Stegostoma tigrinum: one gene and its partner. The protein of the gene in region 2 purifies or fractionates together with the protein of the main gene of each other region. This does not show direct contact. Links are inferred from orthologs where the notes say so. Each region holds a gene or a part of one and is shown on either strand. Other genes may lie near its edges. The genes, in order: prkd1 and hdac5.

Region 1 (15,926 bases), on a different chromosome or scaffold from region 2:
ACTATAAAACACAAACTTTGGGTCTGATATGTAGATGACACCTTTGTGATTATTAAACGTACGAAACTGGAAGGAACCCACCGACACATAAACAACATCCTTACTGGGATAAAATTCAGAAAAGGCAATGAGAAAAACAACCGACACGCTTCCTGGCCTAAATAGTGGAACACAAAACTGCGGGGAACTCCAGATTAGCGTAAATAGAGAGACGACACATACGGACCAAATACTAAATTACACTAGCAACCACTCCAACACCCACAAACTGAGCTGCATTAAGACACTATTTAAATGAGTCGCAACACATTGCAGCAACCTGGAACTACACAAAGCAGAACAGGAACACTTATACAGAGTCTTCAAAAGAAATGGATACCCGCAAAGCACAATCCACTGTTACCTAAGAGAGATATATTACAACAGGAAGACACAACATGACTAGACTCACTAATCACCTTATCGTTCATCAAAGACATTTCAGAGATGACCATAGGACTACTCAGACTCCTAGATTTTAAAGTAGTCCACAAATCGACAACCACACTACAACAGCTACTGATGAACATAAAGGATACAATACCCAAAACCAGCAAAACTGGGGTAATATACAAAATACCATGCAAGAACTGAGAAAAACTACATAGGTCAAATCGAAAGAAAATTGACAATATGGACACATGAACACCAACTAGTCACTAAGAGATATGACTAAATCTCACTTGTCTCACTACATACTGACAACGAGGGACATGATTTCGATTGGGATAACACATCGATAATCGCACAAGCCACACAGAGATACGCCAAGAAATTCCTGGAAGCCTGGTATTCCAACCGGAACTCCATCAATAAACACATTGAATTAGACACTGTGCACAAAACACCGAGAAACAAAATCAGTAATTGTACCAATCACCCCAGAAAACCGAGGAATATAACTAACGAGCGGGACAGAACACCAACGCTTCACAGGAGGCGGTCTGATGAGGTTGCCTAGCAGGATGGCGAAATGTTTGCAACCAAACCCACCGGCTCGGCGAGCATGTCTACAAGCTCAACCACAATCCGAGCTACAAACTTCTCAAAAAAATCTTCACAAAGGCTTTAAAAATATTCTTATAACATTCATCAGTTAATAAAGTGGAAATAAAAGCAATAAAGTGACTGTATTGCCACATCATCTCAGTTTAGAGATTTCTCTGTGTTAACATGGTACATTTGTCATGAGCTCAGCACAAGAGTAATTTCTATGTAGTGCCTACTACTAATATCTTCCTTGACCTGTTTTGTTGTTCATTAAACAAATCATAAATACTAACCTAACCAAATGATAAGTATCAAAGATAACAGGAACTGCAGATCCTGGAGAATCCAAAATAACAAGGTGTAGAGATGGGTGAACACAGCAGGCCAAGCAGCACTTCCTGCTCCTATGATGCTGCTGGGCCTGCTGTGTTCATCCAGCTGTACACCTGGTTATCCCAAATGATAAGTATCTTATTTTTAAAATTGACAATTATCTGGTGACTTGATTAGAAACATGCAATAATATAACAAAAGGCTGATGGAAGTTCATTATTATTTCAATCATTTATCAATATGATCGCTAATAAATAAACACCTTATTATATCAACAATGGGTAAGTTACTTCACATTTCTAATCATTCAGGGTCCAGTAATAATAGAAAAAAATCAGATACTTGGCACTCTTAATCCATCTGGTGTTTTAATAATAAATAAAGTTTTGGGTGAAAATTCTTTCCAATTTCAACATAGCCAATGACAGACAATTTGTAAAATCTGAACGAACTGTGAATGCTGTAAATTAGGAACAAAAACAGAAGTTGCTGGAAGCTCAGCAGGTTTGGCAGCATCTGTGAAGAAAAAAATCAAAGTTAACGTTTTGGGTCCGGTGACCCAAACGCTAACACAGACAGTATATACGTATATTTACACATGCACTATTGTATATGGTATCCATTTGAACATGTATATGAAGCATACATGAGAAGGACAGTATATGACGTTCATTGGTAGTGTGTGCCTCACTGTTTCCCTCCCACATCACTAGATTTTAAGTTTTGCTCATAACAAGAGTTCAGGGACAGTATGTCCCTGTTAATGTGAAGGGCAAAGCTGCTAGGTGGGGGGAATGCTGATGACTAGAGAAATTGAGACTCTGATCAAGAAAAAGGAGGCATATGTCAGGCCTGGATAGCTGGGATCGAGTGAATCCCTAGTGAAGTATAAGGGCAGCAGGAATGTACTTAAGAGGGAAATCAGGAGGGCAAAAAGGGGACATAATATAGCTTCGGTTAAGGAGAATTCAACAAGATTCCACAAATACATGAAGAGAAAAAGAGTTACTGGGAAGCGAATAAGGCCCCTTAAAGATGAATAAGGACGTCTATATGCGGAACCACAGGAGATGGGTCAAATGCTAAATGAGTGTTTCAAGTCAATATTTACTGTGGAAAAGGATATGGAAGCGAGAGAACTTGGGAAATAACTAGCAGTATCTTGAAAAATGCCCCTATGACAGAGAGGAAGTGCTGGACATCTTAAAATCTATATAGGTGGTTAAATCCTCAGGACCTAATCAGGTGTATCCCAGAACTTTGTCCGAAGCTAGGGAAAAGATTGCTGGGCCCCTTGCTGAGATATTTGTATCATCAATAGCCACACAGGCAAGGCGCCAGAAGATTGGAGGTTGGCTAATATAGTATGATTATTTAAGAAAGGTGGCAAGGAAAAGCCAGGGGACAACAAACCAGTGAGCCTGACGTCTGTGTTGGGCAAGCTGTCACAGGGATTTGGATGGACAGGACTCACATGCATTTGGAAAGGAAGGGGCTGATTAGGTAGAGGCAACATGGCTTTGAGTGTGGGAAATTGTGTCTCACTAACTTGATTTAGTCTCTTGAAGATGTGACACAGAATGATCTAGGCACAGCCGTAAGCATTGTTTATATGGACTTCAGCACGGTGTTTGACAAGATTCTGCATGGTCGGCTGGTTAGCAAAGTTAGATCACATGGAATCTGGGAAAGCTAGCCATTTAGATGCAAAATTGGATTAAAGGTAGGAAACGGAGAATGGCGGTGGTGGGTCATTTTTTGGACTGGAGGCCTATGACCAGTGGTGTGCCGTAAGGATGGTACTGGGTCCACTGCTTTCCAACATTTATATTAATGACTTGGACGTGAGTATAGGAGGAATGATTGGTAAGTTTGCAGATGACACCAAAATAGGTGGTATATTGGACAATGAAAAAGGTTATCTCAGAGTAAACGGGAACCGTGATGGTCCAATGGCCCAAGGAATGGCACATGGGGTTTAATTTAGATAAATGTGAGGTGTTGCATTTTGGTAAGGCAAATCAGGGCAGGACATATACCCTTAATGGCAGGGTCCTGCGGAGTGTTGTCAAATGAAGGGACCTAGGGGTGCAGGTATATAGTTCATTGAAAGTGGAGTTGCAGGTAGTCAGGATTGTGAAGATGGCATTTGGCGTGCTTGCCTTTGTTTATCAGTGCACTGAGTATAGCAGTTAGGATCTCATGTTGTGGCTGTACGAGACATTGATTAGGTCACTTTCAGAACACTGCATTCAGTTCTGGTCTCCTTGTTATTGGAAAGATGTTGTTAAACCTGAAAGTGTTCTGAAAAAATTTACAAGATTATGCCGGGATTGAAGGCTTTTAGCTATAGGAAGAAGCTGAAGCCGGCTGGGGCTATATTCCCTGGACCGTCAGAGGCTGAGGGGTGACCTCATAGAGGTTTATAAGACCATGAGGGCATGGATAGGGTGAATTGGGTCTTTTCCCAGCGTACGGGAGTTCAGAAGTAGAGGGCATAGGTTTAAAGTGACAGCGGAATGATAAAAAAAAGGACATTGAGGGGCAACATTTTCATGCAGAGACCGATGCCTGTATGGAAGGAGCTGACAAAGGAGCTGGTAGAGGTGGGTAAAATTACAAGATTTAAAAAGCATCTGGATGGATACCTGAATAGAAGACGTTTGGAGGAATATGGGCCAAATGGTAGCAAATGGGACCAGACGAGTTGGACGTAACTGGTCTGTCGTTTCTGTGTTGTATAACTCTATGGCTATTTCTTTTTTTTAATTCTCAGAATTAATTTTAGCCGCAATTTTCTTGTCGGTGTTGCTTGTAAAATATAACTGAAAGCAACAGTTTGTTTTGTTTTTATTCCCAGGATGTAACTTCCACGGTTATCGGCACAACATGCCTTTCCACCTTGTAAACGTTTTAAATCCAAATCTACAGACCGCAGACCACGGCCATCTGTTCACTTGCACTCTGACAAGCAAAACACCTCCCAATTGTTTTAAGTCAAAATTTCTGACAATTTGATTGTTGCCAGGCAACATACTCGACCATTGAAACAAAATTTTATGCACCAACTTCGTTTGTGTTTGTTTTGGATAAGAAATCAAACTGCCAAAACGTGGAAACAAAAACAGTTCTTGTGGGAAATCCAAGTTTTAAAATATATATTTATTTAAAAATTAAACTTTGTTGACATGAAAGCAGGTTATCCATCAATTTACAGTAGTCAGAAATCAGTCTCCTTAGTGTCTACCCTAACAGACGGGAGTAACAATATTTGTGGATGTCGTTTATCACAGTCTCACAATGACAAAGAACAGTTTCACAGACAGCAATTTGCTAAAACCTGGTACATTATCCAGATTTTCCCAGTGGTCTTATTCGGCTTCACTTTGGAAGCCCAAAACAATTGTCAAAACTCAGCCAACCGCCCGGCCAAAATAAACTAGAATCGAGAGGTTCAAGTCTCTTAAGTTACCACGAGCTGTGCCGCCTGCACAGTTCATTCTGAATGATAAAACTATTTTCTGCTGCCAGAGAAGGAGTATACCGGAGAGGGAAGGGGGCATTAGTTTGGAAGCGGGGGAAGGGGAGGTCAGAATGCAGACAAGGTTGAGATTCAGAGTGGGAAGGCTGGGGGAAGGGGTTCATCATGGAAACAACCTGGGCTGGGGGCCTCCATCTCTCAAGTCAGGACAGAGTGGTATTTCCAAACCTCCAACACCAGAAAACCCCATTGCACATCGCTGCACATCGCGACCGCTGACATAACAATGTTTCCTTTCGATTTCTTAAAAGTTCAAGTCTTTTTCGCTCTCACTATCCTTATTTTTCTTTGTTTCTGTCTCGTTCCGTCACTCTGTCTGTCTTGTTTTTTTTCTCTCTCTGAATGACTGTTTCCATCTCTCCCAACCCCTTGACTCTGTCCCTCTCCTCAGCCCCTCTCTCTGGCTCTCCCTCAACTCTCTCTCCCTCTCCAGCAGCTCCCCCATCCCATCTCTACCTTTCTGCATATCTCCCCCCCCCCACCCCTTTTATCTCTTCCTGCCACTCTTCCAGACCTCCCTACCAGCCTCACCAACTCTCTGCTCCCTCTCTGACCCCCTTCTCTCGCCCCGTTCTCTCTCCCTCTCTGACCTACTCTGTCCCTCTTTCTGATCCTCTCTCTCGAAAACCCCCTCATTCCCTGTCTGACCCCATCCCCGTCTGGCTCCTGACCCCTCTCTCTGAGCTCCTCTCTCTAACACCCCTACCTCTCTCTGATGCTCCTCCCCCTCTCTCTGACCCTCCTTCCCCTCTCTCTGACCCTCCTTCCCCTCTCTCTGACCTTCCTCTCTGAACTCCGCGCTTTTTAACACCAATCTCTCTGACCCCCCTCCCCCTCTCTCTGACCCCCCTGAACACCTTCCCCCGCTCACTGAACCCCCTCTCCCTCTCTGTCTGACCACCACCTCTCCCTCACCCCCCTCTGCCCCCACCTGGTCTATCTTTAGACCTCTCTCGTTGTGTCTCGCCCCCTGCCCCTGTGTCCCCGCTGACCGCGCCAACTTTACACTCGGGTTACCTTCTGGTCCACGATGGAGCAGGCCATTTCGCGGACATGTGCGAGGGAGAAGTGACTGCAGTCCAGGATGACGGGCTCCCTGCTCAGGCCGATCTGGATGTGGAACGGGATACCGTGGGGGCTGAGCCGCTCTGCTCCCGGGGATGAAGGGGAGCAGGGGCTACCCGAGCGGATCACCGGGACCGGATTCATCAGCAGCAGCACGGAGCTCCACTCCCTCCCTCTCTCTCTCGGAACTTCACGTCCCACACTCTCCTGGCTACAGTCAGCAAGGCGGAAGATGGCGACAGAGGTGGGAGGGGGGGAGAAGGGTTGTTGCTGCTTTGGCTAAAGAAGCAAACAGGAAGCGGCTGTAAGAAAGCAGCTGAGTCCAAAGCTGGACAAATCTCCCCACACCCCCGATTACCCCCCCAACCCCCGCTGCTGCCCCCAGACCCGGTCCCTAGAGCCGTGCTGCTACCCCCTGCCCTCCTCCAGGCACTGCCAGTAGGACGGATTTGGACCCTGTCCCCTTATTTACTTTCTCTCTCTCCACTGAACTCTGTACATCTGTTCCCTCTGTCCATCTCTGCCTCACTTTCTGTTCGTTTGTTGTGTGTGTTTGTCTCTATCGCAGCCGGCGTGTCCGCACCACTATCTCTCCCTCTTGAACTGTGTCTCTATGTCCCCCGTACCTGGTTTCACTCTTGTCACACGAACTCGGTCCGCTGTGCTCTGCTCCGTATCTCCGATTCTTCAACCTCCTTCCCTCCCCTCACCGGCACCAGAGCAGTGCACTTCTCTCCTCTGGGAGACCCTGCCACCTGGAAGACCCGTGTCAGAAGCCTGCCCTGGCCAAGGACGACACTGGGTAACAGCAGGCGCTCCCCCTCTTAATGATGGCCTTTCCAGTTTGCCGATATTAGCATTGCAAATTCAGGGGGCAGGGCTGGCAGTGGGGGCTGCGGGTAGTGTGAGGCTATAATCAACATTTCTATAACGTTTTCCGTCAAGCTGTCACTCTGAAGCGAATGTCAAACGCAGTTCCACCCCTTCCACTTTCACTTAGAACAAATGTTATCTTAATTACTGTTCTTAGAAATACTTCGAAAAGATTGTTTTAAGACACAAGACAGTCCCCATACTGGAGCAGTAACTGCACACAGCAGAGCTTTGCAAACTAAGTTTCAGCTATGGTCTGGAAACTGAGCAGTCCACTTTCCTGCAATAACTATTTACGAGTAACAGATGCCTGGATTTGTTTGCTGGATAGAGTCAAACTCCGATGTTTGTTTGTTTCTTCATATGCTACTGTACAGAGCCGAACTGCTTTAGTGACTATGTACATAAATATACTATTTTATTAATAAGGTATAGTTGAATTTTTTAAAGAAAAGATATTTTCAGATTGCGGTGTGTAATTGCAAAAACAAGTTTATATTTTTGTCAGAGCAGTCTGTGGGATTGGAAAGGGGTGTGAACGTGTATTTGAATCGATGTGTCTGTCGGTGTGTGCCTGCCTATATGTGTGTGTCAGTGAGACTGTGTGCATTTCTGTGTATTTGGTGTCTGCTTGTGTGAGGGTGAATTGGAGTAGGGGAGCCTATCTGTGCGTGTCTGCGTCGGATGTTGGCGTCTGTGTTCCTGTGGCCGAGTGTCTGTGACTAGGGGTGACCCACGCACTGAATTTTTCCTTTAGGATTAGGGACCCGTGTCCCGTTGCCCTGTCTTCTGTAGCCCAACAGAAAGACTCCCATCACCTGCATCCGAATGACTCCCACTTCACTCCAGTATCTGAAGAAAATTTCTGAAGGAACTCGTATTCCCGGTTTGCGGTTGGTTCAGGAGTTGATCCCCCGATATTGCCAAAAGAAACTTTCAACAACGTTATTTTTTTTAAACGTGCAGGAGTTTGGAGTTTGCTATTCTCAATTTAAACAAAAGCATTGAAATAAATGTCCTTACCTTAATGTTCAAATGATTTAAAATAAAGCCAACAAAATATAGACTGCCCTTTATACCAGACTGAAAATAACAATTAGTCACCTCGCGGCGGGATGTTTGATGTTTAAAACTTCCTAAATATTCAGTTGAGAGAAATCTCTATGTATTACCAAAATGCTGAGAGGTTGCCATACAGGAATATTAATGTTATTTCATTGTATGTTTGACTGACAGCAGTGATCCTGTATTATACAGAAAACACATCTGGTGTCAGCAGCTTCCCCACTTTATTCCGTTCTTTTAATGGGTCTTGTGCTGAGGACCCCAACATATCACCTTTATGAATTCCGAGCGCAAGGGACCACAGTCGTGCAGTAAGATACTCAACATTACAGATGGTGTCAGCGAGATCGACGACACCAAAAAAAAGCCCTTCTGCCCCAGTCTGCAACAGTCAAACAACAACTACCAAACTCTTTTAATCCTGTTTTCCAGCACTTGGACCATAGCCTTATATACTTTGGCATCACAAGTGTGCGACTAAATACTTAACTGTTATGAGGGTTCCGACCTCTGCCATTCTTACCGGCAGAGAGTTTCAAATTGCCACCACCCTCCAGGTGAAAAAGTTTGTCCTCACATCTCCTCTATAGTTTCTACTCCTAACCTTAAATTGTGGGTTATTTTCTAAATCTGACATGAGTGTGTTCTAAATCTTTTTCATTTAAAATGGTTTGAGATAGATAGAAAAGTAGTCTATCAATTACACTCCTGCTCTGCAATGTGTCACTATCTAGACTGAAAACATTTTTCACATTACATAGATGTTTTCTGACCTCTGGTTCAGATCCCATTAGTCAGGGCTGCTTTGTGTTCTAACCAAAACAAAACAAATCCGGTTTGAAAAAACACAGAAATTGCTGGAGAAATTCAACAGGTCTGTTAGCATCTGTGGAGAGAGAAACCAAGTTTTGAGTCTGGTTTGACCTCTTCATACTCCTGAAAGACATGTTGAGTTTCTCCATGACTTTCTGCTTTTATGTCAGATTTCCAGCATCCTCTGCATTTCTTTAGAAGAAACCTCCGTTCTCCATCTGTGTGAAATTTACTAATATTAACCCGGATTTCAGTTGGAGTGCTGATATTGGCCTCAGCACTGAGCCTGCTCAGAAGGTAATCAGACTCTTTGGACCTGATAGTCACCTGAATCTAGACAGTGCATCTCTAGATGTTAAGATGAGGACAGATTCAGTGTGACAGCTTGTGCAGCAGAACAAACTTCTGAACTTTTTGTCTCAACTTACATCTGAAAAGAATTGAGATTTGGAAAGATACCAGAGAGCTGCTTTGTTCATGGAATTAAACCCCAAACAGGGTGTGTGCTTTCAGAAAAGCAGAGAGCATTCAGTTAAAACCTTTTTTCGGAACTTCAGTCTCCAGTTGACTCTGACAATGTGGCACCATTAAGACTTGAATACCTTGACTATCGAAACCTGCATCATAGTTCACTGATCATAAAGGTTTGCTCCCTCTTGCCTGGGGTAAGTGCCACTGATTATTCATTGCCACGGAGTTTTTAATAAAAGGCTCTCTTACAAATGTACCAGTTAGGGCCAGAGGTGTACCTTCAAATTTCCGTACCCTTGGGAAATGACCTGACCAGATGAAACCAGAATTTAAAATGCTTAAGCAGTTCCTTTTTGACCAGTGCATATTGGCCCTGATGATAGAAGCCACGAGTAGACTAGTATACCAGTGCTCTTTCGGGTAAAGTTTTTTCTCAGACTGAGTGATGGAATCCAGCTATCCAGCTGAAAGGAAACAATACAAAGAGACGATTAACAAAGTGTAGAGCTGGATGAACACAGAAGGCCAAGCAGCATCTTAGGAGCAGAAAAGCTGACATTTCGGGCCTAGACCCTTGATCCCAAAACATCAGCTTTCCTGCTCCTAAGATGCTGCTTGGCCTACTGTTTTCATCCAGCTCCACAACTTGTTGTCTCGGATTCTCCAGCATCTGAAGTTCCTATTATCTCTGGTACAAAGAGATGATTCTTGTGTTTCAAGTATTGATAGCCAACCAGAGTCAAAAGGAAACAGGGCAAATGGATCTCAATGAATCTCAAAATCAACAATAACATTCCACTATTTACATTTCACAAATAACACAGATTCTGATCTGTATATACTTTAAATTTTTGGATTCATTTCTCCTTTCGAACCTTTGTGTATGTGTGTTGTGTTGTTAATTCTTCTTGTGTTCCTAAGTAATCAGCTCTCCTTATTGCTGACTCAGGAAGCCTGGTCTAATTGACTCCTTTTAAAACAGAAATTCATTTGACCTGGGAGGAAAATACCCACAGGGAGGGAATCCTTTGTAAATTAATCTTGTTGTGAGGGGTCAGGTGAATAAGGAAGTGGAATCAACTCATTGTGTCTCAACCGAGAGCTCAACAAGTTCAGCATCCCATCTGTAACTAAAATAACTGGGGAAGCTCATTCGAGATTTGGTTGTAACAGTAGTTGATAAGAATGGCCCATGATAGGAATAGTGTTCCACAATGACCAGTGGTGGGATCGATACTCTTTATGATTTGAATTGAATAATTAGAATTTGAAACAAAACTCAAATTCTAAATTCACAGGTGACACCAAATTGGTGGTGGTGAGGGTGTTGGTGGGTGTCAGTACTGTTAGCACTGAGGAGGAATACAGCAAAATGCAAAAAGAAATTTATAAACAAACAAAATGGTCAATAATGAATGATAAATTCTCTTCAACACAAATAAATGTGAACTAAACATTTTTGTAGGTGGAATAGGGAAGGACTCTTTTTATTTGGAAGGTGTGAGTGTAGCTGGGGTAAAGGAAATAAAAGGGATCTCAGAATATAATATACCAAATTGCTAATGGGCCACAGGTTAGGAAAGTAATGAAACAACAAACCACACCCTAGGCTTTATTTCAACAAGAACAGAACTCAAAAGTCAAGAAAGTAGGGAAGTAATGAAACAGCAAACCACACACCAGGCTTTATTTCAACAGGAACAGAACACGAAAGTAAGGAAATTGTCGTATATATCAAAGCTAGGTTAGATCATACTTAGAACACTGAATGCAGTGCTGATCACTGTTATAAAAATGATGTAGAGGCACTGAAGTGGGTACTGAGAAGATTTTTAAGAACGGTGGCAGAAATGTATGAACGCACAACTGTGGAATGGATGTTCAGACTGTATTTCTTTTGAAAAATGAAGCCTGAGGGATGACCTTAATGAGATTTTGAAAAGTTTTGATTCAGTGGAAGAAGAGAGAATGTTTTCTCTTGTAGGGAAGAGCATAATTAGTGACCATCAATAAAATATAGCCAGCTAGAAAGCAAAGCGACTTGTTAATCCAATGCATGATTAGAACGTGGACATCTCTTCTACAGGGAATGGTTGAAGCACATAGCATAGATTAATTCAGAAAACATATGCAAGAAGAGAATAAGGTTTGCAAAGATCGATCTGGATGAAGAAAGATTGGAGGAAGCTTGACTGGAACATTAATACTGACATGGATTGGTTGAGCCAAAGGACTAATCTGTGCCACGTATTCTATGTAATCCTATTTAAGTAGGTCTGTCGCTGGCGTTGGTTATTTCACCATTTGCTAGCAGCACTGCTTTTGGAGGCTGCCCTTGACTTCCTGTGCCATAAACCCCTGATCAAAACCTATTTTTCTTGACTTGACTGAGGCCTATTGACAAACATGACAAGCTTTGTATTAATCAGCATGGCATTACAGCTTTACTTTGAGCCTGGTGTCTGTGGCTAAAAGGGCAAAGGCAAAACATGCAGGTGGGCTGATTAAGTGAACATTGTGACAGGAAGCAAAGAGCCCAGCCTGGTCAGCCCATGAGCTTAGGGCATGTCTCTAAGTGTGTAATGTCTTTGCTGCTTCATTACAATCAATGATGGTTATCAATGCAGATTGAGGTACAGCATTGAAATGCAAAGGTGTACCCTTCTTCAGGACTTCAGATCTCCCATGTCGGGCACTGAGCACCAACATTTTTGGGTATGATCCATGGGCAACAGCCACACGCAACCCACGTCTACAGATATAATTGGATTGATGATTTGCCATGAATGCCAACATCTGTAGATGCGGGTTGTGTGTGGCTGGTGCCTATGGACCATATGCAAAACTGTTGCTGCTCAATGCCCAACATAGGAGGTCTGAAGCTCTGAAGAAGAGTCATAACAGACTCGAAACATTAACTCTGTTTCTCTTTCCATAGACACTTCCAAACTTGCTGAGTTTCCCCAGCATTCTCTGTTTGTTCTACATAGCTAATGGGGTAAATCTGGTAAGATGCTACAAGAAAACTTGCTAGGCCTTATGGCATAAAACTCTCCAAAATGCTGGATACGAAACAATTTACACTTAGCAAAAAAAAGTTAAGACTCAGCCTTTAGTTAGGAAAGGGCAACTAATGCACATGTTGCAAATAATTAATTCAAAAAGAGGAGTGCAAGGTCATTAACTGTGAATCTAAAATGGATAAATCAAAAGTATCTTCTGCATGGTGAAAGACTTGGAACTGCACAGGTGTACAAATCACTGGAAGTTAAATAAAGAAAATAGCTTAAAAGTGAATGCAATGTTGGCCTTTAATGATTCCTAAGACTGAATTGTATGTGCCTCCCCCAGGTGCTAAAGCAGGTGGATAGATGTGTAAATCAGGGCACAATGCCACTGGCAGACTGTCTGCTGACACGATTTTATATGTAAATACGGGAAACGTTGGTCAGGCCGTCTGCTCATGGCCTAATTGAGGCCAATAGTGAAAATTAATGCCGAGTGAAGGGCATCAACCCACCACTACTGTGCTGAATGTGAAGCCCAATTGTGGGCTAACTACTGGTCAGTGAAAGGAGAGCACTTTTCCTGATGCCATTCTGCCAACTGACTGACAACTTCCTGTTTTACCACTACGGGTAGGCAGCGTCCCGCCTTGTGAGCTGTAAGCATCGAGAATGTGGTGTGAGTCTGTGTGTGGCATTGATTTGACTGTGCAATGTCATTTTCAATTTCAACTCTTCAGTTAATGCCCTGTCCTAAAGCTCACAGAGTTGAACATAGATCAGGGGGAATTTCCATGTTACTGATGATTATGTCAGCAGGAAGTATGTTTGATTGCGAATCTGATCCGCTGACATAGATCAGTTGGAGCAGCAGTTAGAGGCATTGAGGAATTTACTAAAGCTAGGGGGTGTGATGGATGGTAGTTGCAGGAAGGGAGAAAAACCACAGATACAGTCAGATAGATGGGTTACCTCCGGGAAAGGTAGGAGAGGGAGGCAGGTAGTGCAGAAGTCTCCAGGAGATGGGCTATCCCCATATCAAACATGTATGCTGTTTTAGAAAATGTAGTGGGAGATGGACTCTCAGGGGAATGTAGCACTGACAGCCAAGTTTCTAATACTGAGACTGGCTCTAATGTAACAAGGGGCATGCCAGGTACCAAGCAATCGATTGTGTTTCAGGAAAAGCTCAGCAGGTCTGACAGCATCAGTGAAGAAAAAAATCAGAGTTAACGTATTGGAGCACAACTGAGGAAGGTTCATCAGACCCGAAATGCTAACTCTGATTTCTCTCCACAGATGCTGCCAGACCTGGTGAACATTTCCAGCAACTTCTGTTTTTGTTCCTGATTGACAGCATCTGCATTTCCTTTGGTTTTTATTGTGCTTCAGGTCTCTCGAGGCAGAGACACAGACATACATTTCTGCGGCTGACTTTGCGACATCAGAATGATGTATTGCCTTCCCGGTGCCAGGATGAAGGATATCTCTGAGGAGGTTCAGAAAATTCTTAAAGGGGAGAGGGGCCAGCAGGAGGTTGTTGTACACTTTGAAACTAATGATATTGGAAGTGAAAAGGATGAGATTCTGAGGACAGAATGTAGGAAGCTAGGCAGGAATTTAAAAAGGATTTAATAAACAAATTAAGGAAAATGGGTAACTAGGGAGAGAATAAGGTCCTTAAAAACCACCCGTGTATGGAAGCGCAGGAGTGGGTGGAGATATTAAATGAATATTTTGCATCAGTGTTTACTGTGGAGAAGTATATAGAAGATATAGAATGTGGGGAAATAGATAGCGACATATTGAAAAACATCTATATTACAGAGGAGGAGGTGCTAGACAGCTTAAAACACAAAGGTGAATAAATCCCTGGGACCTGATCAGGTGTACCCTCGAATTCTGTAGGAAGCTAGGGAAGTGATTGCTGGGCCCCTTGCGGACGTACTTGTATCATTGATGGCCATAGGTGAGGTGCCAGAAGACTGGGGGCTGGCTAATGTGGTACCACTATTTAAGAAAGGTGGTAAAGAAAAGTTAGGGAATTATAAAGGGGTGAGTATGACATTGGTGGTGGGCAAGTTGTTGAAGGGAATCCTGAGGGACAGGATTTACATGCATTTGGAAAGGTAAGGACTGATTAGGGATAGGCAACATGGCTTTGTGCATGGGTAATCGCATCTCACTAACTTGATTGAGTTTTTTGAAGAAGTAATGAAGAGATTTGATGAGGACAGAGCAGTGGACGTGATCTCTACGGTCTTAGTAAGGCATTCAACAAGGTGCCTCATGGTAGACTAGTTAGCAAGATTAGATCACATGGAATACAGGGACAAGTAGCCATATAGATACAGAACTGGCTCAAAGGTAGAAGACTGAGGGTGGTGGTGGAGGGTTGCTTTTCTAACTGGAGACCTATTACCAGTGGTGTGCTACAAAGATTAGTGTTGAATCCACTGCTTTTCATCATTTATACAAACGATTTGGATGTGAACATAAGAAGTATGGTGAGTAAGTTTGCAGATGACACCAAAATTGGTGGTGTAGTGGATAGCAAATAAAGTTATCCGAGACGACAGTGGGATTTTGATCAGACAGGCCAATGAGCCAAGGATTGACAGTTGGAGTTTAATTTAGATAAATGTGACGTGCTGCATTTTGAAAAGGCAAATCAGAACAGGACTTATACACTTATTGGCAAGGGCCTAAAAAGTTTTGTTAAAAAAAGTGTATGTTCATAGTTTCCTGAAATGGAGTCACAGTTAGACAGGATAGAGAAGAAAGTGTTTGGTATGCTTGTCTTTATTGGTCAGTGCATTGAGTGTAGGAGCTGGGAGGTCAGGTTGCAGCTGTACAGAATATTGGTTAAGTCGCTTTTGGAATACTGTGTGCAATTTTGATCTCCCTGCTGTAGGATAGATGTTGTGAGACTTGAAAGGGTTCAGAAAAGATTTACAAGGATGTTTCCAGGGCCGAAGAGTTTGAGCTATAGGGCGAAACTGAATAGGCTGGGCTATTTTCCCTGGAGCGTCGAAAGCTGAGGGATGACCCCTAGAAGTTTATAAAATCATGAGAGGCATCGACAGAGTAAATCGACAAGGCCTTTTCCCTGGGGTAGAGGAGTCTGCAGCTAGAGGGCTTAGGTTTGACATGAAAGGGGGTGACATGGTAGCTCAGTGGTTGGCACCGCAGCCTCACAGTCCCAGGGACCCGGGTTCAATTCCACCCTTGGGCAATTGCCTGTGTGGAGTTTGCACATTCTCCCTGTGTCCGTGTGGGTTTCCTGCAGGTGCTCCGGTTTCCTCCTGCAGTCCAAAGATGGGCAAGTTAGGTGGATTGGCCATGCTAAATTGCCCATAGTGATCAGGCATGTGTAGATTAGGTGGGTTATAGGGAGATGGGTCTGGTTGGGATGTTCTGAGGGTCGGTGTGGACTTGTTGGGCCAAAGGGCCTGTTTCCCCAGAGCAAGGATTCTATGAACAATTAAAAGGGACCTAAGGGGCAACTTTTTCACGCAGAGGGTAGTGCATATGTGGAATGAGATGCCAGAGGAAATGGTGGATGCTGGTACAATTACAGCATCTAAAAGGCATATGCATGGATACATGAATAGGAAGGGTTTAAAGGGATATGAACCAAATGCTGGCAATTGGGTCTAGATTTATCTAGGATATCTAGTCAGCATGCATCAGTTGGACGAAAGGGTCTGTGTCCATGCTTACATCTCTAT
Region 2 (14,941 bases):
TTTAAAAAAAGGTAGTGAAAGGAAAGCAGGGAAGGCATAAGAGTAAATAAATGAGCACAGCAAGGAACGCAGCATCAAATTAACAGGGAAGATAATGTAGAAAACAACCTGAAGGTGAGAAGCAAAATTTAAAAACAAACACGTTGAACATGCAAGCTGATTTCTGAAAAATGGTTTAAATCATGGGTTTTTAAAACTACGAATGAAACTGGTCAGTGATAATGGGAACTGTAGATGCTGGAGAATCCAAGATAACAAAGTGTGGAGCTGGATGAACACAGCAGGCCAAGCATCTCAGGGGCACAAAAGCTGACGTTTCGGGCCTAGACCCTTCATCAGAGGTGAAACTGGTCAGCTCATTTTAAAATCTGTTTGCTGCAATTTCATGTAAACATTACATCAGCAAATTTACTGATAACAAAATGATTTTTTTCAAAAAATCATTGATGGGATAAGCCAGCATTTATTGATCATCCTTAATGGCCCTTGAGGGGGTGGTGCTGAGTTGCATTTTTCAACTACTGGACATCTTTGGGTGCAGGTGCATCCACAAATATTGTTAGGGAAGTAGCTCCAAGACTTCATCTAGCAACAGTTGAGAAATAGGAATACAATTCCAAATCAGGATGGCGACACTCAGATGGGAATTTGTTGGTGGCGATGTTCCCATGCATCTGCATGGTGCTTGCATGCTTGCAAGGTGCTCTCAGAGGTACCTGGTAAGTTACTGCAGTTGGCACACTGCTGCCTGCATCAATGAAGGAGGAAGGACGTGGGCGGATTGTAAACCCAGCCTACTGCTTTGTCCTGGACGGTGAGAAACCTCTTTAGTACTGTCAGAGTTGCACCCCTCTTTGCAAGTGAAGGATGTTCCATAGTACTCCTCACCAGTGCCTTGCAAAATCACAGATCATAGAAAATCATTGAATCCCTACAGTGTGGAAACAGGCCCTTCAACCTACCGCCTCCACACCAACCATTACAGCAGCCCACCCAGACCCATCCCCCATAACCCACCCAATCCACACACCCCTGAATAATGTGGGCAATTCAGTATGGCCAATCCACCTAACCTGCACATCTTTGGACTGTGGGAGGAAACCGGAGCACCTGGTGGAAACCCACACAGACACATGGAGAATGTACAAACTCCACTCTGATGGTCACCCAAGGGCAGAATCGAACCAGAGTTCCTGGTCCTATGAGGCAGCAGTGCTAACTACTGAGCCAGTGCTGGGAAATCAGGAGATGAGTTACGTACTGATGAATTTCTAGCTTTTGACATGCTCTCCTAGATAAAACATTTATATTATAATCCCTCTACATCTTGATCCTCTAAGAGGATGGTCTGATGGCTCTCCACTTCTTCCTAAGAAGACTCCATCAATACTGTCCTCCACTCGGTTGAGTGTGTTCTCACTTTAAACCATTTCTCCGTTATCTCATCTCTTTCTTTAAATAATAGATATGGCTATGGGTACCTGCAACTGTCTGTTAAGTCAGACTCTCAGAAGGGCATGTGAAACATTACTTCATTCAGTCCTACTTAGAGGCCCCTCCCGCAACTCTTTTGCCCATACATCAATAATTGCATTTGTTTCCTGCATTGTATGGAATTGGAAACATTCTTCTAATTTCCATCCTTTTCTTACTTTCACTTTGCCCATTTTTGATTCTTCCTTACTTTCCTTGACTTTTCAGACCCCATTTCAAGAGATAGGCTGGCCATTAATGTACAACAGAAACTCACCAACTCCTACAATTACCTGACCACATTTCCTTACCTTGCTTCCCTTAAAGATTCCATTCTATTCTCTTAGTTTCTCCATTTCGGTCACATCCATTATGATGACACCTTCAACAGGAGTGCTACTGTCATGTCTTCCTTTTCCCTCAATTGTGTATTCCTTTCTACAATGGCTGATGGAGCCCTCATTCATGGCTGACCTAGATCCTGTACTTCTGTACCTACTTCTTCTGGTGTCTTCCTGAAAAGCTACAGGGCTCTCATTTTCACCCCAAAAGCTTCCTCATTCAAAAGAAACACACTTTGCCATTTTTGTCACCTCCAGCAGGATGTCACCAAACACATCATCACTCCAAACCCTGTCAGTCCTCCACAGAAATTATTCCCTCCAATGACAACTTGATACGCTTCCTGTCACTATCAACATCTCTTCATGCATCTGTCAATGGCACATTCCTGTGCAGAAAGTGCCTCACTTGCCCTTTAATCTCATCCATTTTCACTGTCCAAAGTTCAAACACACCTTCTGTATGAAGCAGTGAGTTATTTTCACTTTTTCCAATATGTTCTACTATATTCACTACTGACAACACATTCCTTTCCAGATTGGCAAGCACAAATTCAGCCCAGTTTGCAAAACATCTCCATTCTATTTAAAATAATGATCCTGACCTACCAGTTGCTTACCATTTCAATATACCATCTTGTTCTCAGGTTAACATTTCTGATCTAAGCCTGTTAAAATGTTCCAGCAAAGTTGGAGGAACACCACTTCATTTTCCACTTAGGCACATAAACCCTTCAGGACTCAACGGTGAATTCAACAACCACAGGCTATGAACATTTTGTTGTTTATTTTGATTCTCCTTCCATGAGTGTCTTACTGAAATGTGTTGGCTTCAATCAAGCTGACTTATTGTCTGCTATTAACACATACCACTGTTAGATAACCTTCATCCATAGCTTTCCTCAACTATCACGAACATTTTTTTTTGCAATCGGGTACCGTTATCATCTAGCCCACTTGCTCTCCCTGCAACTTAACCCATAAAGTTCACAGACTCCTTCAATTCTGTAAAAGTGTTATGTGGATTCAAAAAGTTAACTCTGTTTCTCTTTCATTTTATTTCAACATCCTTTGTGCTAGATACGACTCCAAGCAGCATAGAATTTTCCCTGGATTGCAATCTTATTGCGGTTCCTTAATGCTATATATGTCAAATGCTGTCTTGCTGTCAAATATAGTCAATTTCGCCTAAGGCAAATAATATCATAAGAAAGAAGAACAGGAGTGGGCCACTGGCCCCTCAAGCCTGCTCTGTCATGCAATTGGGTCAATCAAATCCACTACTCCTCATGCCCACTTTCCTGTCCTTACCCTGCCTTGAATATACACAAGCACTCTGTTCCCACAAGTCACTGTGTCAACAAGAGCCAAAGACACACACTCAAAGAAAGTTATCCTCATCAGAGTCTTAAATTGGTGACCTTTTATACCGAGACAATGTTCTCTGCTCCTATTCTCTCCCTTGTGGGAAAAATCTTCTCAGCATTTACGTTGTCAAACTTTAGAATCCTAAATAAAAAACAAAAGAACTGCAGATACTGCAAGCCAGGAAGAAATACAGAAAATGCTGGAAAATCTCAGCAGATCAGACAACACCTATGAAGAGAAATCAAAGTTAACATGTCAAGTTTGGTGATCAGTTTTAAGGAAGAGTCATCAGAACCGAAACACTAAATCTGATTTCTTTTTAAAGATGCTGTCAGACCTGCTGAGCTTTTCCAGCAACTTCTGTTTTTGTCCCTTAAAAATCCTGTATGTATCAATGAGATCACCTTTCATTCTTCTAAAATCCAATGAGTTGAATCCCAACCTGTTTAATCTTTGCTTGTAAGACAATTCTTGCACAGCATGGATCATCTTAGTGAGCATTCTCTGAACTGCCTATAATGAAGTAATATTTCATTAAATGAGGGGGGCTGAAACTGCTTAAAGTATTCCAGATATGATCTCACCAGAACCTTGTACAGTTGCAGCAAAACTTCCTACTTTTATACTTCAACCTGCTTGAAGTAAGGATCTCACCACTGGAGCTCAGGTTATTTGTCCACAGTTGTAACTAGACTAATGAAAACAGGAGCTGAATGGCTCCTATGGAACCCAAACTCGCATTAGTGAACAAGTTATTGCTGAACAACATTTCTGCACACATTTATTATCTCCATACATTGGCACTATGTGTCATCTCCTCAAAATTGCATGGGAAGCCTCTACATTGCGTAGGCATGGCAGCAAATAGATGTTAACAGAAAGTGAACTATAAAACAACAGCAATGTGGTCAACTGTTAACTATCCTTTGAAATTAGTCCAGCAAGCCCATCAGTTCAAGAGCAATTAGGGACAGGCATTAAATGCTGACCTTGTCAACAACACTCACATCCCATGTAAGCATAAGTAAACAAAAGGCTAAAACTATTACAGGTATGCAACGTCATTCATACAAGATATAAGGAATTTATCTATCGTTTTTTTTTAAATATTCTTGAGTTTTGAATTTAGACATGATGCAAAAAACTTGAGCTATAACTTCAAATCTTTTTCTTCTTCTACAAAATTGTGCCACTATGTTATTAGATTTTACATGTGCAAGAATTATCAAGTAAAGTTATGGCAAATACTCTACCGATCTAAAGGGCAAAAATCTACCAGGAACAGTGCAGTCTGTAAATTAAATTATAAAAAGTGAAGAATTGGAGGGTGTGAGAATTTACTACGCACACCTTCTACAAACTAGGTAAAGAGTTTATAAAAACCTGTGTTTTTCCGAAACAATTCTGCTCAAAGTCAAACATTTTACCATAAGTACAGGCTGTCTTGGCAAGAACTGCAGTTACAATGATAATAAATAAATATGCTGTGCAGAAAACAGCCAAATTACTGACTATCTCAAGTTTCCTAGTTATCTTCCAATGAAAAGAAAGCCATCTGATTTAGTGATGAAGAGGAAGTTGCGCCTCCATGAAACATACAAGAGACTTGACAGTGGCAGAAGTTTACATGAACGTCTAGTACAGTTAATGAACAAAGACAAAAGATGACTCACGCCGCAATGCCCCCAGTAATGTTCGGTTAATTGCTACGATTGCCATGTTGAGAAACGTAAATGGATTGCACTGAAACTTCCCATATATATTCAGTTGAATTTAAAAAGTATTTAAAAATATTTAAAATATATTTAGGAAACATACTTCTTTTACTGATATTTTATTTAAAATATTTTGAAAGTTTATATTCTATTGTTTAATATAAAATCAAAATTTCTATTTTGACCATGCTTAATTAAAGCAATGGTTAACTTGCTTTATTCATGTTTGTCGCTCTAATATTTCCCTCAGTTTTAGCAATTGAAAAAAAAGTTAAATTCCTGATTTAAATTTTCAACAGAATGCTATTTGTTCATTCAACAGTTTTAAACTGTGCCTATTATTACCAAATGAGTAGTAACAAAAGCACCACTTTAAACTAATGAAACGAAAACCAGTCAACATACAGTTAAAAACCAACCTAACCACCTGTTTACTGAAGTACAGATAAGTCACAAGTGATTTAGTTCATATTGCCCTCATGATCTTGTTTTAATGAAAAATAAATTGACTTCAGCAATAACAGTGTTAACTGGAAACACTGCTCCTCTCTAAAACTGGGTAACGCTGCACTCTGAACTTTGTCATGTACAAATTTAGTCAGAGTAAAGCTTTTCCATGAGATATTTTCAACCTTACCTGAAAATGGGGGATGGGAGGACACTACACATTATCAGTAAACCGACATAAGTGTTGCTGCTGCACAAACTGCAAGGTATCAACATAGTAACAGAATATTATAGCCCTGCCTTTAAATTGCATCGTGTTTAGATTTATTGGTCTTGGGCCTTGACACCACATTTTAACTCTGAAAAACATAATTCATCCCATTTAACATGCTAAACAAGACTACAGTGAATTAAAATAATGGAAGCTGGATTAACTGTTTGTTTTAAAAGCTGTGTTGGCAACGTTAAGAAGCTTAAGTTTCCACAGCTAAAAATATCTAAATATTCTTAGCTTTGGCATACCTCAAAAAGAAGTATGGTATCACATAGCTATCTAGTGCTGACAGATAACTACCACGTGCTGAATAAACAGATTCTGAAAATAACCACGCTCAAAAACACATATTTAGAACTATTTAAAATTCACACCAATATTGAAATGCTGAAAACAGACAAAATCCATGAATCTTTCACAATCCATCTTTTAAGAAGAAACTAAAACACATTTGCATGCAATGAAGTAATGAATTCATTATTGTGATTCTAACTTACCCAACCTTATTTCAAATACTGTCGTTCATAAACAGTATAAGAAATTGTTCATCTAAATATTTTTAAATGTTACATATTTAATAACGCAAGAATTCAATGAGATAGAAAAGGCTTCTGTACCTAAGTTCCTTTGAAGTAATTTGCAGATGCTGGGATACTAACAGCAATTGAATTACTTCGCTTACCTGATGTTGGCATAGTGTGCATCCGACTTTGTGGCAACAATTCTAGGGGCTGCTCTTGTCCAGATACACCATCTGAGGAAAAACATGATTCAGTTTCATAAATAGTCTGCAACATCTTTTTAAGTCCAGGCACTTTGGGCTTCAGTAACATGACAAAGTCATCAAATACAGAATAGTTTTCAAATCTTCTTTTACAGACAACTTTTTACAAACTTTTAAGCTGTTGAGTGTTGTTTTATCCTTTAAATCCTGTTGCTGAAGGCTGTGTAGAAAAATCTCCAGCTCCTTTTAACACAGTCAAGCCTGGTGAAATGCAGTGGAACAAACATCCTGAATTAGCGTTGTGATTTTCAATCCAACAACAAATACTCAGTCATCTTCCTTTTAGCAAGGCATTAATGAGACAACATGCAACATTGTAGTTAGATAGGGAAAGTCCTTTACCAAAAAACAACCTTAATACACAGACAGACACAGTTCAATAAAAAAATTAATCCTCTCACTCGCAATGAAAGTAAGGAACCCTACAATCTGCCTACTGCATTAAAGGCAAACACATTTACATAAAAGTCAACAATAATACAGCCTGAAGTGCACCAAAATAGAATAACAGGAGGAGCCGGCTATAAATAGGTCATGCACGCTCTGGGAATAAGGAACATTCACACAAACATAGGCAACCAATCAGCTGCTTTAAAATATGATTTCCTAGCTCGTGCACATTTTAACTCCATGAATGTTACTGCCAAGAGTAGTTAAATGCTACTGTATATTCAGCATAAGTGCAATGAGATAACAAAGATGGTATGGAAACAGAGAGCAAAAAAAATCACACCAACTGCAACCTCAAGGCTTTCAAAAAGTTCCTTCAGTCATACATTTTTAAAAAGTTGGTTCACGAGTAATTGATAATCAGATCGAAACAGCAATTTTGAAATAATCCTTATTTTAACTCTCTCAATTTGTGAAGAGGTTTTGTAACAATGTCATATTGCACATTGAACAGGGTAGAATAAAAATCACTCCTAAAAATTTAAACTTTAAGCATTCATGACAGTTTAAACTGGATGAGAGATTGTAGACTTCTTTGATCGTTTTCATGAAAGTAATGACGGATAAATTCAGAAAGAGGACTGAGGGTAAATAACCTGCTTAGCTCATTTACATTTACTAAGGCAAACATTCTTGGGGGGACAACTAAAGTCTATATCAACCCTACTGGGCCAGAACCTTTATTAGAAAACACAAATTAAAAATCTGATGTGTAGCATTGATCACAAAGCAGTGGACATTTTCTCTTAGTGACTGAAGAGGAAAAGTCAAGTAAAAGTAATACTTCTAATTCAATGAGAGCAACTTTTAAAATTCCTGACTTATGTTCAATTTGGTTAACCATTCAGCTATGGTGAATTAGTCATCCTTCCAAAACTTCATTTCAATAATATCAATGTTTGACTTTACCAATATTAACTTAATTATTATTTTTGTTCTGCTTTCGAGCTCATCTCAAAAAAAGTGACTACAGCTTGCATTTACCCATTTTAATTTGTCCGAGAAAGACGACAAATTAAGAAAATAAACAATATCGCCATTAAAGTTTTTGCTCTTTTTCTAACAATAACCATGCACTATGTGCAATAATTGGAGGCGGGGTGCAGTGAGGTAGGGTGAAGCGGAATGACAACTAGTTCAGCTCTGACCATTTAAAGCTCTGTAAGCAAGTTGAAGTGAACAATTAGCAAAGTGTACAAATCCAAAAGGAATAAAAAAGGAAAGCTTGCACAGACACTAGTGCCAAATATAATTCGACAAATGCAGCAACGTGTCCATCAGTTTGATTCTCTGTCTACTTATTGAAAGACCAGTTGGTGGATTGGTCAGTTTTAGAGTATGCAGCATGTTCTGGAAACAGATACACAGGGATGTATAATGACACAATGGTTATGAGATCACCTAGAAGCCCATTATAATCATATAAAAGTTTCATATATTAAAAGGATCCTCCTTTTCAGTTAACTACTTTCCATTTTAAAAGCACATGAAGTTGACAGTGAAGAACAGCACTAGTTGCTGCATTCAAGGATGCTGATACGGATCTGCGTATTCCCCAACCTCAGTGATAACAGACAACATAGCTACAGCTCCTCAGTACAATGCCGTTAAATTGCACCTGAGACTATGCACAACATAAAATTATAGAGCACCTCCTCCACTCATACCTCTCTTACATTACAGTGATTCTACTAATTAGAGTGGGTGGCATTGGGATGAACATAAAAAAAAGCACAAGAATATTGCCAAAGTAGAAAAATGCCATAAAAGTACTGTTGAAGAATTTTACAAACACTGTAATAAGGTTCTTCTTGCAGCACGTGGATAACATGGATCCAATCATTTTTGTCAGTGTAACATCCACATTGGACTACAAATTATTACAGTAAATGCCTATTTTGCAGGGAAAATTACATAGTTTTACTCCTTGTTATTAGCACCTTTTTACAATGCCCTGTGATGTTTACTAAAAAGCTCTTCGTGAGCACTAAAGCATTACTGCTGTGATGTTTGAAGTCCCCTGTTGTTTAAAAATTGAAAAAGATTCCAAGAATTGTTGGAGCTTCTATTTAACTGCTTGAGAGTCACTAAATCAACGTCTGACATAGCCACAAGTTAAATCAAACATTGCTGTACCTAAGATTAACTATGGGACTGTTTCACACCTGCTTCAGATTGAAAATGTTGATCACCATACAATGGCAATACAATTTGTTTAATCAATCCTATTATTACAAAATAATCTTCCAATGGCAAAATTAATTAATTTTTAAGAGTACTTGCCGCTCATTTAACATATTTAATAATATAAAGAAAATAGCCTTTTAATGCGCTGCTCAGGAGTAATCCATTGAAAAGATATGTGCGGCCTCCAACAAAATCAAAAAGCTTGACTCCACCCCAGGTCAAAGCAGTTCATTCACTCGCACCTCACCCATTATGTTCAGTGTGTGATCCTTCTCCCACCAACACAGAGCAGCAACACTGTACCAACAACAAGAAGCACTCCAGTAATTTACCACAGCTCTTCAGAAAGGACCTATTCAACCCATAGGTTGCAGTGCCTAGAAAGTCAAGGGCAGATGATGTTGGGAATGCCACCAACTGTAAGTTCCTTCCCAATTGGTTTGGAATGATATCACAGTTCCTTCACTACTGCTTGGTCAAGATCACAGAAGAAACTCCTTTCCAAACAGCATTGTGGATTTCCCTGCAAATATTACTGCAATGTTGGTGAAGGTGGCTCTCTTTCACCTTCAGTGGCAATTGGGATAGATCAAAAGTGCTAACCTAGCCAGCAATCTCTGCGGAAACTCTTTGTAAACCTTCAAGAGCCTCTTTATCCAATCTCCCCGAAAGCATTAGGTGTTCATCAGCCTTGTACTTCTTTTTAAGAACTTTATGAATTTTGCTTCTCTTGCCACAATATTTATTAGCCACATCGTTTTACATTGTTTGCTATGCACCCCATGTTCTTCTTACAAACCTGGCCCCACCTCCACCATCCCATCCCAGTAAAAATACAATGTTGTACCAAGCATCATTCAAGATAACAGCACAAACAGGAACATAAAACAGGCAATAAAAGCATCTATAAATATGCCAAGAGAATAAGATTAGTAAAGTCAAATGTAGGTCCCTCACAGTCAGAAAATGTGGAAATGCAATTGCATAACAAGGAAATAGAGAAAACTGAACACATTTTGTTCTGTCTTCAGAGACAAGGTCATAAATAATTTTCCAGTAATATTAAGGAGCCAAGGGTATAGCAACAAGGATCAATTGAAGAAAATCAGTATTAGTAAAAAGAAAGGTGCTAGAGAAATTAATGGGGTTAAAGACTGAAAAGTACCCAGGGCCTGATAATCTGCATCTCAGAGGACTAAAGGAAGTGGCACTGGAAATATTAGATTCACCGATGGTCATCTTTCAAAATTCCACAGACTTTGACATTTCATGCACCTTGGAAGGTGACAAAGTAACTCCATTATTTAAAAAGAAGGGAAAGGAAAGAAAAACAGACCAGCTTAGCCGACAGAAGTAGTGGGGAAAATGCTCCAGTCTGTTATAAAAGATGCAATAACATTTAACAGGATTGGACAACGTCAGCCTTGGTTTATATAAAGAAAATCATGCTGAACTAGTCTTCTGGAGTTTTTGAGGATGTAATTATTAAAACAGATAAGGGAAAAACCAGTCAATGCGCATATTTGGATTTTCAGAAGGCTTCTGGTTAGGTCCCTTGTAGGGTGGAATTTTCCACTCTCTGGAATTGATTAAAAAAAAGTGAAACAATTGGTCAAATTTGGCCCTGCTAAGCAACTCCACGACAGAGAGCCCAGGATATCAGTGTAAAAGAAAAGTTGAAGTGTTTGCCATCATCTTGGGCCAGATCTGCTGAGGGGATAACTGATCTCAGCATCCTCATGTCCCCAGCATTACATATGCCAATCCTCAGCCAAACCAATTCACTCCACACATCAAAAAATATCAAAGGCACTGGATATTACAAAAGCAACAGGTTCTGAAAATATTTATGTTGTACAGCAAGCTTTGCTTAACTGGCACCTTATCAACCAGCAGTCTTGATAAACCGGATAAAATTATATATATCAAAAACTGCGATCCAATGCAACATCCAAGTATTGATGGTGTGAACAAAGTAGAACAGTGATGCATATACTCACCGCATTATGTTTCTATTACTTGCTGTGTATTTTGACAGTGATTTTAGGAAGTGTGTTGATGTTTTTAACATGAATTTTTTTTGAGGGATGTTGATGTCTTGAAGCCTTGCAGTGATGCAGACCTCTTGATTATCCAGCATATTTGATCAACTGGCACACTCCAGGTGCAATAAGTGCTGGCTAATAACATGTTTACTATAACAACAAAGACTTGCACTGCACCTCTAGATGCAGAGCTAGCCAAATGTTCCAGTGCAACTATAATGCTAGCACCAAAACTGAAAGTGAAGAATTGTACAATTACAACCTGCATACAAAACAAAGACAAAAAATTCAACCTGGCCAAATACTGTCCCATCAGTCTAGTTTTGATCATCAAAAAAGTGATGACCCAAGCAAACAGTGTTATCAAGTGGCACTTGCTCAGCAATAATTTGTTCTCTGACCTCAGTATGAGCTCCTCCTGCACCACCTTATGCCTCACCTCACAAGAGTTTTGATCCAAAGATTAAACAGAAGATCTCGTTGAAAATGTGAAGTTAGGTGACAGTCATTGTCTTCATCAGCATGGCAGCATCTGCCCTAATGTGATATCAAGGAGTCCCTGCACAAACTGACATCGCTGGAGGATCAGGAGGATGGTGGTGGTGGTGGTAACTGTGGCAGTGGTGGCAAGGGTTGGTACTCTTCACTGCACAGAGTGACAGTTAGCACAGCACAAAATGGCTACATTATTTGGAAGCCTATCACCCTGAAGCAAAGGTATTGCATGAATTTTTTTGCAGTAACTTTATGATCTGGATGAAGGGAGTGGGGGCATTCTGGCGAAGTTTGCCAATGACACGAAGATAGGTGGACAGGCAGGTAGTACTGAGGTGGTGGGGAGGCTGCAGAAAGATTTAGACAGTTTAGGAGTGGGGTCCAGGAAATGGCTGATGAAATTCAACGAGAGCAAATGCAAGGTTTTGCACTTTGAGGAAAACAAATACGGGCATGGGCTATTTCTAAACAGTGAGAAAATTCATAAAGCAGAAGTACAAAGGGATCTCGCAGTGTTGGTCCAGGATTCTCTAACGGTTAACTTGCAGGTAGCGTCTGTGATTAAGAAGACGAATGTAATGTTGTTGTTTATCTCAAGAGGGTTGGAATATAAAAGCAGTAATGTGCTTCTGAGACTTTATAAATCTCTAGTTAGGCCCCATTTAGATTTTGGGCCCCATACCTCAGGAAGGGCATACTGGCACTGGAGCGTGTCCAGCGGAGATTCACGCGGATGATCCCTGGAATGCTAGGTTTAACATACGATGAATGGTTAAGGATCCTGGGATTATATTCATTAGAGTTTAGAAGGTTGAGGGGAGAGATTTAATAGAAACTTACAAGATAATATATGGCCTAGAAAGGGTGAACACTGGGAAGTTGTTTCCGTTAGGCGGGGAGGCTCGGACCTGTGGGCATAGCCTTAGAATTAGAGGGGGTAAATTTAGAACAGAAATGAGGAGACATTTCTTCAGCCAGGGAGTAGTGGGCCTGTGGAATTCACTGCCACGCAGCGCAGAGGAGGCCGGGATGTTTAATGCCTTCAAGGCGGATATTGTTAAATTCTTGATCTCACAAGGAATTAAGGGCTAAGGGGAGAGTGCAGAGTAGTGGAGTTGAAATGCCCATCAGCCACGATTAAATGGCAGAATGGGCTCGATGGGCCGAATGGCCTTGCCTCCACTCTTATGGCTTATGGTCTAACTTTAGGCCTTATCATTTTCAGCTACATCAATAACCTTCCTCCAATCACAAGGTCAGAAATGAAGATGGTTATTGACGACCGAACAATACTGAAGACGATTTGGGGCTCTTCTGATACTGAAGCAGTCCCTGCCCAAACTCAGCAATATCTGTACAACAAAAATCTCCAACAAAAGGAGGCAACCAACTACCCATGACATTTAATGACATCCCTATCACCAAACTCTTCACTAACAATCTACTGGGGTTTACCACTGACCAGAAACATAGCTGGACACAATCAACACTATAGCCACAGGAGCAGGTCAGGGGCTAGAAATTCTGTGGGGAGTGACTCAAAACCTTGCATTTGCAAATATAGTGGCTGTACAAAGATTGTCCCAAGATATTCACATGCACAGATCTCTAAAATTCCACAAAGAGATACAGAAAATAATCGAGGTGACTAATGAAATTGTGGCCTTAATGTTGAGACAATTGGAGTATAAAGATGTAGAAGATATGCTGCAGCCATACAAAATCATGGTTAGCCCCACTTGGACAATTATGAGCAGATATGGACACTGCAGCTCATAAATATTGGCCTTGGAGAGGGCACAACATGGGTTTACTGGAATGATGTAGACTTAGCCTGGGTTGGTGGTGGTGGTGGAAGGAGCAAAGAGGAAGAAAGAAGAGAGAGGAGAGAACGAGATAGAGCGAGAGATGCACTGCTTCAAAACTGTAGGGACTCTATGATACTATGAAACAGCAGTTGGTGCTACAACAGTTGCTCATTTTCTTTCTGAAATAGATAAATGTTTGTTAGTGAAAGGAATTAAGGGTATGGATCAAAGGCAAGTATTTGGAGATAGGTCACAGATCAGCTATGGTCTTATTTAATGGTGGAACAGGCTCAAAGGACTGAACAGCTCATTCATGCTCGTATCACCATCAGTCTAAGGTGGCAGGAATGACTGCAGAAATTCACCAAGACTTCCTCAAACAGCATGTTCTAAACTACTACAATTTTGAAATACAAGGGCAGCAAATGTATGGGAACACCACCATTTGCAATTCCCTCCAAGCCATTCATCATCCTGACCTGAAAATACACCACTACTCCTTCACAGGTGATGGGTCAAAATTCTGGAATTTAAGACCAACATTTATTGACAATCCCACACTTCTCTATTACCTGTGGTGTAATGGCAACTCAACGTGGCTTGAATGGAGAGTTGGGGCTTTAATAAGATAATCTTGATCTCTTTCTAAGGTCTAGCTTTACTTGTATTAAACATTCAACTGTTAAATTTCACTGAAAGTTTTGTTTAAATTCAGGGGTATGGAAATGATCTATTGGGGAATAGCTGCATTTAGTTAATTAAAAAAAGCCAGTTCAAACGTTTTTTTTCAGTAACAGGGGCTCAGATGTTTAACATTTCATTATTCTAAAACTAATGTTATTTGAATGGCATGCTAGGAGTCTGGCGAGTTGAAGAAATGGGAGCAAGGTGGTTTTTTTTCATTTGTTTTTAAACTTTCTCAGCCAGTAGGTAATTGGCTGTTATTTTTATCCTTAAGTATTGAATTTATAGGCACAGAAGAAAGAGATGATTGCTGAGAAAGGGTCAGTAATTCTACTTCCTATTCTGTAATCTGCTGCCTGACATGCTGTTTTCCTCCAGCTTCAGGCTGTACTGACTGATTCCAGCATTTGCAGTTCTTGCTACCTCCCTGTATGATATTAGTGTACACTTGTGTATAGTTTTGGAATCCAGAGCGGTCTGGATAGATCAGGAGAAGCTGATGCCCCTTCAGAAAGGATCAAGGACAAGGTGGTACAGGTGTAAAGTAATTTGTAAAAGAAGCAAATATGATATCGAAGTATTTTTAATTATACAGTAGATAGTTAAGGTCTGTAATTAACTGTCTGGAAATATGGTGGAGGCAGCTTTAATGAAGGCACTCAAAGGCATTACGTGATTACTTCAATGGAAACAATTTTCTGGATTACTGGAAAGTGGAAGGAGTGTGGTACTAAATCACAATGCTCATTCAGAGAGCTAGTGCAGACATGATGGGCAGAACGATCTCCTACTGCATCATAAAATGCTGTGATTCTGAGGAAAAAATGGTGATCTGGTAGTTGTTGAACCAGTAAAATCCATTTGGCATAT

The links.
Region 1: the proteins of hdac5 (region 2) and prkd1 purify together in Homo sapiens (affinity purification with western blotting; 4 studies listed by BioGRID, with this or other methods). This does not show direct contact. The link is inferred for Stegostoma tigrinum from reciprocal best matches to the Homo sapiens genes HDAC5 and PRKD1.

What each region holds. Positions count from the first base shown.
Region 1 is NC_081363.1:61,991,128-62,007,053, reverse strand, and holds the start of prkd1 (serine/threonine-protein kinase D1), read right to left. Parts: upstream 6,884-15,926; 5' UTR 6,595-6,883; intron 6,248-6,594; 5' UTR 6,113-6,247; coding exon 5,921-6,112; intron 1-5,920.
Region 2 is NC_081384.1:20,060,197-20,075,137, forward strand, and holds the start of hdac5 (histone deacetylase 5), read right to left. Parts: upstream 6,467-14,941; 5' UTR 6,452-6,466; coding exon 6,301-6,451; intron 1-6,300. UniProt on the Homo sapiens protein: Responsible for the deacetylation of lysine residues on the N-terminal part of the core histones (H2A, H2B, H3 and H4).